Astyanax mexicanus: one gene and its partner. The protein of the gene in region 1 interacts with the protein of each later gene in a pairwise test. Links are inferred from orthologs where the notes say so. Each region holds a gene or a part of one and is shown on either strand. Other genes may lie near its edges. The genes, in order: fgfr1a and grb14.

The links.
Region 2: the proteins of fgfr1a (region 1) and grb14 interact in a two-hybrid assay, tested with the Homo sapiens proteins (2 studies listed by BioGRID, with this or other methods). The link is inferred for Astyanax mexicanus from reciprocal best matches to the Homo sapiens genes FGFR1 and GRB14.

What each region holds. Positions count from the first base shown.
Region 1 is NC_064419.1:25,850,177-25,857,431, forward strand, and holds the start of fgfr1a (fibroblast growth factor receptor 1-A), read left to right. Parts: upstream 1-4,102; 5' UTR 4,103-4,866; intron 4,867-7,255. UniProt on the Homo sapiens protein: Tyrosine-protein kinase that acts as a cell-surface receptor for fibroblast growth factors and plays an essential role in the regulation of embryonic development, cell proliferation, differentiation and migration.
Region 2 is NC_064418.1:34,769,616-34,776,960, reverse strand, and holds the start of grb14 (growth factor receptor-bound protein 14), read left to right. Parts: upstream 1-4,235; 5' UTR 4,236-4,574; intron 4,575-7,345. Other genes in the region: cobll1b (cordon-bleu protein-like 1b), read left to right, coding at 1,197-1,268. UniProt on the Homo sapiens protein: Adapter protein which modulates coupling of cell surface receptor kinases with specific signaling pathways. Binds to, and suppresses signals from, the activated insulin receptor (INSR). Potent inhibitor of insulin-stimulated MAPK3 phosphorylation.

The DNA of each region.
Region 1 (7,255 bases):
CCTTTGATTTTCTCTCAAGAAAGTGTTTATTTTAAAGAAATGGTTTACTTCATGTTCAAATAATTGATATTTATGACAAAAAAAATACTCCTGTTAAAGGAACTCATTCCTGTTACTGGAACTCACTCATGTTATTGCTACATCTCTGAAGGGGTTTTTACATTGTTAAATACAACCCGCGAAAACAACAACAACAAAAATTGTATATGTCCCCAGGCTTTGGAAAAATAATTACATTAAGACATTGGGAACAAAATGAATACAATTATTATTTTGTATTGTAAAATATGTAACAACAATCTTGTGTGTTAGCTTCTTTTTAAAAAGAAATATTTTATTTTTACTGCAAGTCAGTGTAAAATTATACTGAACAACAAGATTCACATTATGTAAAAAGTGAAACAAAAAGAGAACATTTTTGCTTAACAAAAAAGCTAGTTCAAACCCGAATGATCATGCCACCAGTTCTTATATTTTTATTATTAAAAGAATAACAATAAAGAGACTATTATTTTAGCTAAGTAATCAAATTAGTTGCTTGTTAAAGTGCTTGTAATTATCTGCTGTTATCAAGATTGTATGTATTTAATAGCACTCATTGTTTCAGCTAGCAAAGTCTGCTATTTCTGTACAAGTTCACAACAAGTTTAATTGCTCTGAATAAATAAACGTGGCTTTTTATCCCGGAAATCAGAATGCTGCTAACTTGACTTTGGGGAAAAGCCCTGTTAGTCACGGCCCAGTAGTAGTTTAGCAGACTGCACGTCTGGACACACCCAAATCCTCCCCAAGGTATTCCTCTGGAAGATCAAAAGTGAGGAAGAAGTGTTTAGTGTGGAAATATGCCTGTGGTTTCCTCAATTACTGGATAAAATTCCATGTCCATTAAAAATGGAAAAGATTCAAAGTTTAGTATTTTTTAAAAGTTGATACATATATAAAGTAAAAAGTACTTGATTTTAGGATATTCTAATAATTTTAACGTCTTATATATGGAATGATGGGCTTCAGAAAAATGGGGACCAGCTTACATTTCATCCAGCATTTGTAAAGCACAAAAGCAATGCCCTACATCCACCTATAGGCACAAACAGACATTAACTAGTAAGTTAAGAAACCTAAGTGGAACCCGGAAAAAATACACGAGTAGACGGCTGCAGACTACCACTGTTTGCATTGATAGGGTTGATGAAAACATGTTTGAAATGACTTATATCCTTGAAGGAGTTTATAAGCTATGTTACCTCACATATTTGGTTATTCAGTTGTAGTGGTAGTTACAGTAGTCAAATTTACAACTTTAATAACTTTTAATAATAATACTTTGATTAGTATTTACAATTAATGCTGTCCCCATCAAATTTCTAACAATGGGAAAAGACTGTAAATCTCATTACTGTATATACAGCTCTGGAAAAAAATAGACCACTTACAAATGATGAGTCCTTTGATTTTACCAAATTGGAAACCTCTGGAATATCAAGAGGAAGACGGATGATCAGCAGCCATCAAACCAAGGTGAACTTGGCTGCCTGCCAGGAATGGCATTAAGTTATCCAAAAGCAGTATGTAAGACTGGTGGAGAAGAACTGTGATTCTGGAGGGAACTTGTGATTAAAAACCAGGGTTATTACACCAAATATTGATTTCTGAACTCTTAAAACTTTTTGAATATGAACTTGTTTTCTTTTGCATTATTTGAGGTCCGAAAGCTCTGCATTATTCTGCAAATAAATGCTCTAAAAGACAATATTTTTTATTTGGAATTTGGGAGAAATTTCATAGTGTATAAAATAAAACAACAATGTTCATTTTACTCAAACATATACCTTTAAATAGCAAAATTAGAGAAACTGATTCAGAAACTGAAGTGCTCTCTTAATTTTTTTTCAGAACTGTATGTGCCCAATCATGTCTCTGTCTCTGAACCTACTACAAAATCTTCCAGCTCCCCGGTTGTTTGGCACAGAAACATATATGGGGTTCAGAACAAGTTTTGAATTATGTACTCTATAAAAATGCAAATGAACTTTTTCTGCACAGTTTAACAAGATCAGATATTTGAGTAAAGTTAAAATGTTAAAAATGTGTCTCTTTGTATTGTTTTACTAGATTTTTGTTTGTTGAATTGGACATTATAATTACAATTACATTTCAATACATTATTTAAACAAAAGAAAATGTTTTATGTATATACAGAGATGAGATTGGAGATTGGAGATTGGATAGTCCAGGTCCAGGGTTCTATTTGTAACATTAGTCTAGCATTCCCCACTCTAAGCTAAGGTAGCGTGTTACTACATGTATAGCACCTGGAATAAATGATAAATCGTATTAATTAGCTTATAAGCGAAACTATTCCTATATTGATAAGAATAAGAAACGTGTCAGTATTATTCCAACTTAGCTCAGATGTATGTTCATAAATCCAGTCTTTTTTGTGTCCATGTTTAGCTTGGTTAGCATATAGAACCAGTGCTAGGCTATTACTATACAATATACAAGTCAACAAGTCTGGGCAACATTAATGAAAATGTGGACATGGTTTGAGTGGTTTGAGTGGCTTTAGAGACGTGCGTGGACATGATTTTAATAGAAAGATTTGGTAACTACTTACTTGCAGTGTTTGTTAGCCAATCATCATTAGCCTGATTGACTAGCCTACATTTTGCACCAAAGCAGAACATAACACTTCACTTCTTTGTCATGTTAACACTTAATTTGCATTTTTATAGAAGTAACTTTACAGGAGTAAAAACTCATTCATTTTAATAAAAGTCAGCATATAAAATCCAGTTATTTTGGACCATTTTTACAATCGTATCATATTGAAATTTAGTCAAAATGTAACAAATATATTTAACATAAAAATATAAGGTAATGAATAAAATTGAAATATAACTTTACTTCATTCAGGTGCTTGTCTAAAGAGCCAGCCACTAAGCATATTGATTTGTAAAGTACCCCAAAGCAATGACATCACACAAAAAAAACACAACAGAAAATGAATATTTTACATTGTTATATTACTCAGCTAATCATTTCAGAAAGGTAAAGGGTTCATGTGTATTATCTTGAACTTTCGTTATGCTAATCATACACTAGACAACTTTGAAAAGACTCTGAAAAGACTTTTGATAGACCGAAGTCTTAAACCTTCTCACATATAAAGACAAGTCACAGACCTTTTAGTCACAGACTAGTCAGAGACTAAGATTTTGCAAAGATTGGGGATCTTGCAGGGTCACTATTTGCAAGACAGGAAGTAGATTTTTTTTTTTATTATTATTATAATTCAGCAAGTTCTTTCCACGTTTTCTTCTTTCTCCACTGTTGTGGTATAAATAGGAAGACACGTCAGAAAGAGACACTCCACATCACTATTTGCATGAACCAAATCTCGAGACTCAAGACTATAATATTAAACACGGTTGATTTTATCTGAACGTTCAATCATAACCACCTTAAACTGAAGGATCAAGATAAGACACACGCAACTCGACTGTAGCAAGACGTTTTTATCCCGACACTGGAAATTTGTTTGCGACAGTGAAATCGCTTGAAAATCACAGCTTTTGAATTTCAGATAACAAAAATAAGATAATTCTTTTTTCAAGAAATGTATAGGTCTGAATGTTTAAATCTAAAAAGCTTAAGTTTTTTGTGAAGCAAGTTTTTTCAGCAGCAAATTTCACCACCTCAAAGTTCTAAATAAATTAGAATATACAAAGATGCGAGGCGAGTTTGTTGTTTGGTGTCGCTTTTTAAAGGAACCTCAAACTCGAACAGACCCGAACAGCAGGCGATAACTTACACAGACAGCACTGAAGGAGGAGGAGGTTTTTATGTAGGATAAACATAAAAGTACATTTCTAGTCTATACATATAAGACATAAAAATAAACAATTAAGAGCTATTTTAGAAGGGCTAATCAGGTTTATTTATCCTTCTTGGGAAAAGAACTACACTCCCACAATGCAACAGAACCAATGGAGAGTCCTGAGGTGTTGTGAATGGCAGAGGGGGGAGCCAGGTTTCAAACCCAGTGATGTAAGCGAGTGTGTGTTGAGTGTGAGTGTGAGTGTGTGTGTGTGTGTGTGTGTGTGTTTGTGTGAGTGAGTGAGTGCGCGCGCGCGCGCTCCATCGTAGGTAGTGAAGCAGCTCCACGCATGACTCCGGAATCTGGTCTTCTCTGTATCCTCTGGTGTGGGAGGCCGAGAGAGCGCGAGCGAGTGAGGGATGCAGAGGATCACGGTAATATCAGCCCGACCAGACCTACAAACTCAGTCTGCGGGGATCAGGCTCGTTTAGGACGGTCTGTAGTTCGAGTCTAGGCGTTTTAGTCGGAGGATTACTGAGCGGAGAAGCGGTAAAAGTTTTTTTTCCTCCCCCCTTCCACTTTTCCTTCGACCAGACCTCCGTCCTAAACAAAAAGAACCCGGGTGGAAATTTTCTTCGCCAGAAAGGCACCGACTCTGCCGGACATTTACGTAAGATTTGTATCTTACCTTTTATATAAAAAAAAAAAAGTCTTACGTGTTTTTGGATTGACGGTAAGATCGTTTTGGAGTGGTTTGCGGTGATCGTGGAAAAGGAGAGCACTTGCAGCCGAGACGCGAGGCGAGTTTGTGTGTGTTGGTGTCGTTTTTAAAGCGCAGGAACCCCAAACTTAAACAGCAAGCGATAACTTACACAGACAGCGCTGGAGGAGAAAGAGGAGATTTTTGTGTAACGTTAGGATCGACTAAAGAAGAAGAAGAATATCAAAAAGAACTTTCTTTATTAACAGCCCGAAAAAGTTTTTTAAATCTCGGAACGAACTTTTTTCCTCTCCGCGTTGAATACAACCCTCACTGGAGCTAAAAGGTGAGTAACATACCACCTAAGTTCACCTAAGATACATTTTCACTGTTTAAATCTGAGTTTGGCTGTTTTTCTAGCTTGTTTTGTTGATGTTTACAGTACTGAAACATGGCATGCCGTGCAAATAACACATCTGGTTGTAGTTACTCAACTAACCTAAATTAGATTAACTAGATGAACGATTTTTTTTTATTCTCACTTCAGCATTTTAGTAGCTTAACTTAGTTAGCTAATGCTTCAAGTGTTCTATCTATCTATCTATCTATCTATCTATCTATCTATCTATCTATCTATCTATCTATCTATCTATCTGCATTGATATGTTCATAATGTGCATTATCTTCCTAGACTATGCAAAGTTAGAATCTTTTAAATATTCTTTTAGTTCATTTACAAAAACGAACCCTTGGTTGCACCTTTTAAGTTAGACTTACCAGGTTAATAATAGTTTGTATCTCACTTCACCATTTTAATATCTTAAATAGGCTAATGCTGCAAGTGCTGTATTGTGGCTAGGTTAGTGTTTTATGTTAAGCACTGGATAGGACTATAATCTAGCTAGCTAGGTAAACGAATATTTTTAAACATTACCTAAATTAGCAAGCTAGTAGCTAGGCTATCCATTTTCTCAATGAGTAGCATCTGTATTTAATGAGTGAACAGGGAGAAAGGTGGCTTTATTTTATTTTTGTATAACCTGCTTGACCTATGTAACTTAGTTAACATCCAGTGCTGCAGATTCTGTCAACTAACTAACTTAGTTAGCTAAAATGTGAGTAACCTAGTTAGCTTTACCAAAGTCCACCTAAGAGAGTTTTTCACGATTTAAATCTGTGTATGGTTGTTTTTCTATCTTTTTTTTGCTTATGTTTACAGTGTTGAAACATGGCATGATGTGCAAATAACAACAAACCGGGGTGTAACGTTAACTTAGTAGGAACTAGTAGGACTATTAGGGTTAGCTAACTAGCTAATCTCTTTTTAGCTAAATATCACGTTAGTTAGCTAGCTAACTAGTTGCTAGTTTACGCTGTTCTTAATGACTAGCATCTGTGTTCAATACGTGAGCAGAGAGAAAGGTTGCCACAAAACAATACTATTAAAATACTAAGAATAGTGAGAAAATACTAAGCCTAAAACTGTTGAAAAGTCAGCGTGTTGCAGGAACAAATGGCTGAAGGCGTTTGGTTAACTAGTTGAGAGAGTTGACGGCGCGCAGCTGGAGCGCAGCACAGTTCAATAGCTGGATAATTCTGCGAATCGGTTCTTTTTTGCGAGTCGTTCACACGAATCGGCTCAGATTTCCTTTTACTTACACGTTTAGGTTTTTAAACATGACACATTATGCAATCAAATAAAGATTAAAAGTTGTTCATTCATGCATTTGCAGCATAAAACGCTTGATTGCACAGAATCAAGTGACTCAGAGTTACTTTCTGAATCATTCTTGGTGACTCAGACGAGTCACTCGTCAAATGGCGCTGCTAATGACACTACATGCGATGCGACTAAGGGATACTATCGAGTTCGAGTTACTAATATTTAATGGAAAAGAAGCAAAAACGAAGAAACTCAGATGTGAATCAGCAAATTGTTTAATTAGTCACTCAAATTATTCAAACGGAGCGGTTTGGATGAGTCGGATCGGTAAACAGACTCGATAGCTAGGTTAAGATAAACTTCTCATCATTAACGTTAGTTCACTAGCTACCATTTGGCACGTTGTTGAGCTTTAGCTAGGTTAGCTGTGCTGTTTTAAAAGGGTTGAATCTAGTGTTTTGTGTCTGAAAAGGGTTTTAGACATCCAGCGCTGTAGATAGTGTAGAGAATATTAAGGTTGAAGATGTTTAACCGTTTTAAGTGTGCACTTTTAAGTGTGCATTTTGCTGTTTGTTAGGAATGTGCAATAGTATACTAATCAGATTGGTAATGTTAGCATAAAGGTAATCAATGAATAGTCTTAGGCTTAGATTTCACTGACATCTGTTTATATTTTAATTTATTTTAACCTGTTATGCTTGGTTAATTTAATAAATGTCTGCATTGTGACTGTCATGCGTGGTACTGTGTTTAAAACGCTACATAAATAAATGAGTTACAGAGATTATGCATATGTTTTAAAAATGTTTAGCTATAAATGTGTCTAAATCAGGCCAAAGTTTCCATATCTATGTGCTTCCAGAAGTCTTGAGTGTAAGCCTTAAGTGTAGCCTTAGCCTTGTTCCTTCATAAACCTTTAACATCTGCTAACAAAACACACAAATATTGTACAGTCAGACTATACCATATTAAAGATATTTTTCTTTTTGTTTTATTCCATTTGCATAGTTCAGGCGAAAAAAAAACAAATCTGCTGGGCTTCTGAACACTAGGCAAAAGTAATTTGTTTTTA
Region 2 (7,345 bases), on another chromosome or scaffold:
ATTTAAATAGCAGCTATTGCCACCACCCTGCAAAAAAGTTAACTTTTTGTAAGTAATTTAATTAAATCAAATATCCGTATTTTTCACACTATTAGGCGCACTTAAAATCCTTAAATGTTCCCAAAAATCAACAGTGTGCCTTATAATCCGACACGCTTTAAGTAAGAATCCTACAAGTCATGTATTAAGAAGCAGTAAAGCCACTCTGCGGAAAAGTACAGCATTATAAGCGTTAGCATTAGCTGCTAACCGCAGTGCTAGCTCTTTCGCCATTCAGAAGCGAGTATATTGGACTGTAGTCTGCATTATTGCTGTGTTAAAACAAGCTACGTGGGACAAACTGCTAGATTACTCAAGGTTCCTCAGTCTAGTACTATTGAGCAGCGTTTACATCCCTCTAGTACTGCGATAAGCAGCTAATGCTAATACTGCTTTATACATTCTTAGTGCTGGAGCAACTTAACTTAAAACTCACCCTTAAACAAAATATTGGAAAGCTAATTTTACTGTAAATAAACAGAAGCGCTTTACTCACCCAAATAAACGGTTTTCAGAAGAGAAATCTGTGTAGATTAACATCCAGCGGTTGTTTGACTATTATGTTTAAGTATTACATTTTTGTTTACCCTTGTTCACTTCGATGTAGTCTTTCTACTAGTGTCGCTTAATGTGCCTTATAATCCGGTACAGCTTACGTATGAAAAAGAAAAAATCCGGTGCACATTATAGTTTAAAAAATATGGAAATAAGTTTCTCTGGATAAGACCGTCTGTTAAATTCTATTAAAATAAATGTAATATAAATCTACTCATTCATTGGTTATTCCAAAATCATATGTATTAAAAAGAGAAAAATCCAAAAAAATATTTAATTTTGCACCATCATTGCTTTAAATTGTGCTCTGTAGGGACCAGACAAGTGGTGTGTGCATTTGCACATATATGTCAGCAATGGTTTCAACTTAAATTAGCAGCATTGATTTAGAAAGGGGGTCCACAAATACTTAGTGTATATGTAAACAGTGTATTAAATGTAAAATGTAGCAAACTGTTTTAAACGTGAATGACGCCTAATAATTCTGTATATAATTACAAAGAAAACTGAAACTTTTTTTTTTATTATACTAGCCGCATCTAAAGTATAAGGTCTCTATATTTCTAGGGCTTCTCTCACTTAACACTTTATTTGTTTTGCAGGGATGTGTGATGTCTCCTGTGACGGGTCCTGCTCCAAGTTTGCAAGATGCAGCACAATGTCAGGAGGAATAAAGCCTCTCTTCACATTCTTAGCTTTAGCTTTGATCCCACTGTGCCTTAGTGAGCACTTTTAAGCGTAGTGCCTCTGCATCCTGTTCTTCGGTTTCTCCAGCCATCCCACTCGTTTCCCCTTTTCTGTCTACACCGAGGACACTGCAGCTCAATGTCGGTAAACCAGGGCAGTCATAGTGCTGGAAGGCAGCAACTCATTCTGGGTTCTAATGTTCCTGATCTGGTTTAACTCATCAGGGGTGAATGATCTGTTTATAAGTTGGAACAGGTGGGTTAGAGCACAGAGGAAACTGAACTGTGCACTGCTTCAGCCTTCGAGGACTGGACATACCCATCCAAACTATAAACTCAGAAACTGCTCTCTGGACTGTTTTCTATTTTCTGTCTGAGAATGAGTGCGAATGTAGAGTCAGCTTTTGCTTCTCATGTTTCATTGATTATGAAGACTGACTTTAAAATCAACTCTCTTATTTGGAAATATTTAATGCAGTATATTGTGGTGATATTGGAAAAAAAACAGAACACAAGGCGCACCTGAGGGAAGTAAATCACTGAGGTTTAAACCTCTGTCCTAACTTATTATGCAAGAGACTTGCTTGGTCTGTAATTGTTCGGAGACCTATTGGAATATGTTGTGTTTATTTTATTCTCAAATTTATTATATTAAAATCTTTATGAATTATCAGGTGTCAAAACATGCATATTGATTCTGAACCTTGTTTAAGTTGTTTTATATGATTTATTTTTCATTAATTATGAATATGTTCAGTTTTATGAAAGATCATTTGTTTTATTTGAGTTTGTTTGATGTTTTTCTTTAACTTATTAGGTGTAGGGCATAGAATACTGTTATCAACGAACGTGGAAAGGGTACTTACACCAAAATGGTGTCACCGTTTACCCATGTGCATGTATACTGAACAAATACTTTTGTGCTGGTAAACACAACTAGTACACATGACGACGTAATTGTAAATGACATAAAAGACAGTAAAGTAAGCAGTATGTAATAATGTGCACCTACACATAGATTATAATGCATTACACCTGTGGGTGTTTCATTTGTGTAGCAAATGGATAAGAAAGAAGGTAGCCAAAAAAAACATTGAGTTACATCATTTCAACAAAACTGAAAGACAAAAAGAAAGACACTGGGCTGCTCATGCTTGATTTGAAGACAATACTGCTGTAATATCTGAAATTCTTTCCAGTCTGTGCATTAAAATGTAACATATGAGTCATTCCTGAATGGGCTTGTTCCTTGTGCATCACACACGACAGCTCAGGAGATCTTTGAGACATGCTATTTATATGACATTATGTGCAGCATAGAGGCTTATAGAGCTACCTAGTCATGGACACATGGATTTGCTAACTCTGTACACAAGTACAAAGTAGTAAACAAATGCACTGTTTATAGTGTTAATCATGGTTTTCCAATGCGTTTAAGCTGTAATGTATGTGATGTATGTGCTTTGTTGTTGAAGGATTTTAAGTATTCTTGCAGACCCTGTAGAAAATAATCTGGAAATATATATACTTGTTTTGCAATCAGGGAACACCTGGACTAAAGAAACATTAAAAATTAGAAAACAACCAAAAAATAAAACATTACAATTAATGACAAATGTAACAGACTTTTTACAGACTACAGAATTTACAGACTATTGAACTGAGGTCAGAACATATACACTGAGCAGTGGGCAGCCACCTCAGCACCTAGAGGGCATTAGGGGGTTTCTCTAATTTTAAGACCAGGGATATTAAACCGTATCCCAAAGGGCCAATATGGAGGTTTGAATTCCAGCCAAGCAGAAGCACATAAAATCATTCTATTATTTTATTATATTATATTATTAAGCCCATTTCTTGATCTAGAGGGTGCAATATAATTTATTGCAAAAAGGGGCCTAGCAGTCACCTTTTTCTCCACTAGGAAAGCAGCTCTGAACGGGCTCTGAGTGGTCCAGCATACTAAGATGCTAGTCGATTCGAGGATTGCCAGTTTGAATCCCGGATGATGATGCTTGCCCTTAGCATGAAGTGCTGTAAGATTTAATGGGAAAACACAGTTAACCAACACCAGCAGATGACATGGCTCTCCAAACCATCCACTTTATGTTTGTAAACTTTTATGGAGATGTGGATTTTATTTTCCAGCAGGACTTGGCACACTGCCCGCACTGCCAAAAGCACCAATTGGTCTTATATAATATTCTAATTTTCTGAGACACTGATTCTTGGGTTTTCATTGGCTGTAAGCCATAATCAGCAATTAAAAAAAATAGATCTCTGTCTGTCTATCTATATAATATATGAGTTTCACATTTTGAACTGAACTACTGAAATAGAGTAACTTTTTTAATGATATTCTATTTTTTGAGATGCACTAGTATGGTACACACTGTCCAGCATATGCAAACACTGAGCAGGGGCATTCATATACACGATCTCTCTATAATATAAGAGCAGAAAACTCCACCATCTTCCTCCTTTTTACAGAAAAAGAAAACAAGCCTTTTTCTGTTATAAAATCCTAGTAAAGCCTATTCTATTTGTTAAGAGCTGGATATGATGTGATTTAAAAAGCAAACCGTCATCAATCAAATAAAAACAAACAAACAAAAGTGTTTAAAACTAGATACCATTTCTTGGATTATGGTATCTTGTATTTTTTTTATAGCAAAGCAGTCAGTAAAGATTATTATTAGGGGTTGTATTTGTTGACAACCCTTATGTTGGGAATGTCTTTAGATCTGCAGAAATGTAATGTTCATATTTTATATTATATAATATGTATAATAGGCCTGTGTATGTACAGGAAAATTGGGGTGTCTGGAAAAGTCATGGATTTTTTTCTTAAAAAATAAAAGGAACCCTTATTTACGGACAGGGGAATAATACGGACGTAAACATGACGTACAGCATCGCCTTTCCTCGTGCTGTGGTGAAATTAGCTGCACGCCTGGGCTAATTTGCTCCGTGTGCGCGCAGCTGGGGGTGCACGTGGTTTCCTTCAGGACGCTTAGGAGGACTTTAGGGAGTTTAGGACTTTGGCGCAGTACAATGGTCTTTAGGTGAGACGCTTAAAAGCATGGAAACGGTGATTTGAAGCCCGTATACAAGCTGTCTCCGCTCAAAGCCCAGTCACAACACCGTGACGTCGCGCGCTGCATGAGTAATAAGTGGCGCCCCTTAACCCAGTGAGCGCGCGGGGCCGGACAGCCATGGGAGCAGTGCGCGCGCGGTACAGCTCCGGACAGCAGCGGGTACAGTGAGCGCACCAGCCCACAGCGGTCTACACCCGTAAGTTACATACAGCACGCGAGCGGCGGTTCCTGTGTGTGTTTGTGTGTGTGTGTGTGTGTGTGTGTGTGTGTGTGTGTGTGTGTGTGTGTGTGTGTGTGTGTGTGTTATCATTGCTTTTACATTTCGCTTACTGTATCTTTATGCAGTGGAAGGAACCGTAGTCTGTATTTGCGAGTACTGCACTGTATCTGAGCTCAAACACTGAGGCAGCACCGTTTATATAAGAAAGGCTGAAAAGGCTCAGTCCCAGTCTGTGTCAGTGAGATCCTGCGTGTGTTAAGAGTGTTGCACTGATGGGGGATCAGTGGTAAGCAGGTAGGCTGATTCTCAGGTAGAGCAGGATTTTAGCTGTTACTGCTCTCGGGTTCGTGTGTTTGATCTGAAAGGTGTAGTTAGTTTTTGAAGTGTGATTTTTGGGCTTAAAGAACTTTTTACGCACCACCGCTGAGTTTGGTATTTTTCCCAAGAAGACTAACAGCAGCTTCTCGGAGAAATTTTACATGCCCATCGCCTGGGGGTTTGCCTGGAGCTACATTTGGCTCCAAATCTTAGTGCCACCTGTTGGTAGGCTAAGGAAGCCTAATGTAACTATGTATTTTACATGAATAGCTGATAGACAGACATGCACTACCAGTCAAACGCTTTAGAACTCACACACACACACATACAGCTCTGGAAAAAAAGAGACCACTTAAAAATTATGAGTTTCTTTGTTTTTTTTCCACTTAAATGATTGATGGTAATTGATGATCACAAGCAGTGAAAACAAGCTAAACTGCTTGATTTTTTGCACCAGGACTGGCATAAAGTTATCCAGAAGCAAACATTCATTTCTGAATTCTTGAAACTTTACGAATATGAACTTGTTTTCTTTGCATTATTTGAGGTCTGAAGGCTCTGCATCTTTATTGTTAATTTAGCCATCACATATCTATGGAAGTCCATTTCCACAAATAAAAGAAAAAATAGGGGTGTTCTAAAACTTATGTTTAGTTAAGTTCACTGTAGTAAAGATTAGGCTCTACACTTGGAATACTCAATGTTTAAATCCAATTAACATCTAATACAATATTGTGGCCATAAGGATTGGTTATAATATTGTGGCTGGGGTGGGTGAAGAATGGAAGAGTGTAAAATACTACTAAAGTCATGCATTTTTAAATGAACATTAATGAATTAATATTAAGTCATTTACTATTTCATGGAATCTGTGGGTACAGGCATGCCTTTTTACAGACATTTACAGTAAGTTTTGTAATTCCTGTATTTTCTAACAAAACAATAATTAATCTATTCATAAATTGTCCTAATAGTCTACATGGTCAAACAATTATCAGTAACTGGTAGGACTTCTAGAAGGTCTGATGGAGTTGATGATTATTGACCATAAATTATTTGAGTGGTTGATGTGACTCGTTAATGCATAGTGTTAGGAGACTAGCAAAGCTTTAGAAACTAGCATAATTCTGCTGAATAAAATATGATACAGAAATGATACTAAAATCATTCTGTTTTTTAAATTACTGATGGAAACTAAAGTTTATGTTTAGATTAAGCTCTTTGCTATGTTTCCCTGTGTAACTCTGTATATGAAGCAGTGAAACTCTTCAGCGTTGTGTGCATGTGCTTGTTCAGCAAGTTCTCCCCAGGCCTACTATGCGTCACAGATCTCACCCTTTTGTCTTACTGGCTCCTGACCACTTTCTTCAGACATGCAAATTGTCTGTTTCTAGCATGATTTCATGTTAAGGGAACATTGCACTTACAGGATGAATGTAGAGACTGCAGTGCTAGGCGGCAGTGGGCCGCGTGCGTAGTTGGGAGCTTTGGGCTATAATTACCTGCTTCTCTGTGACTTTTTTTTATATTACCTGTTCGTACACTGAAATGAAAAGGCACGTGAGGGTTACTCCTCAACCGGTTCCCTGCACAACATTTACCAAGAACTGGCTCTGCAAACTGTCATTTTTTTCTAAGAACACTTTTCCACTAGTTGTGCCCAATGTGCACTTGGCCTTTACATTTCAGTCTCTGTGTTGTGTTTTTTTTTTTTTGTCAACTTTGTTAAAATATTTTCATTTCAGATTTTTAGGAAGGTAAAGTGCTGTGAGGCAATTAATCAAATTAATTACATCCACTGTTATTTAATATTCTAAATTAATCACATTCATAATCAAAATATTTAAAACTTTACAATTAAATTCACTTTTACCTGAGGAGCAGATGAATGAATGAATAACGGGCTTAAACTTAAAAGCTCCTTGTAATGAAAATCAATTGGTAACTGTCAGTAGTGCTGTAAATACTGTATCGCATAGAACTATATTTTGACATCAGAACACAGGAATGCAGCTAACAGCTCAATGCTAACCTAGCTAACAGCTGAACTTAGCAGTAAGGTTTGGAGGGTGTTAGCCTGGATGCTAAAATTCTGAGATAAATTAATCGCTGATTTATGTTCCTGTGTTGATTAGATATGGTGAGTTCTGCTGTTTGGTATGATATGTGTATGGTGGAACGCCAGCACCAGGCTACAGTGCCGGTTACTGCCGGTCATTTAATTAATTAATTTATTTTTTAGATTGTCTAATTCTGTGTATTTCCGTGTGTATTCTGTATTTATGGCTGAATTCCTCAATTCCTCTATTTGTTCATAGAACAAAGGTGAAGGTGCCATTCTTAAAAAAAAAATCTAAAAGGGTCCCATATGTGCATGCTGCAATTGGCAATAGTTTGCTTTAGCCTTAGAAGATTAGTTAACAAATAAA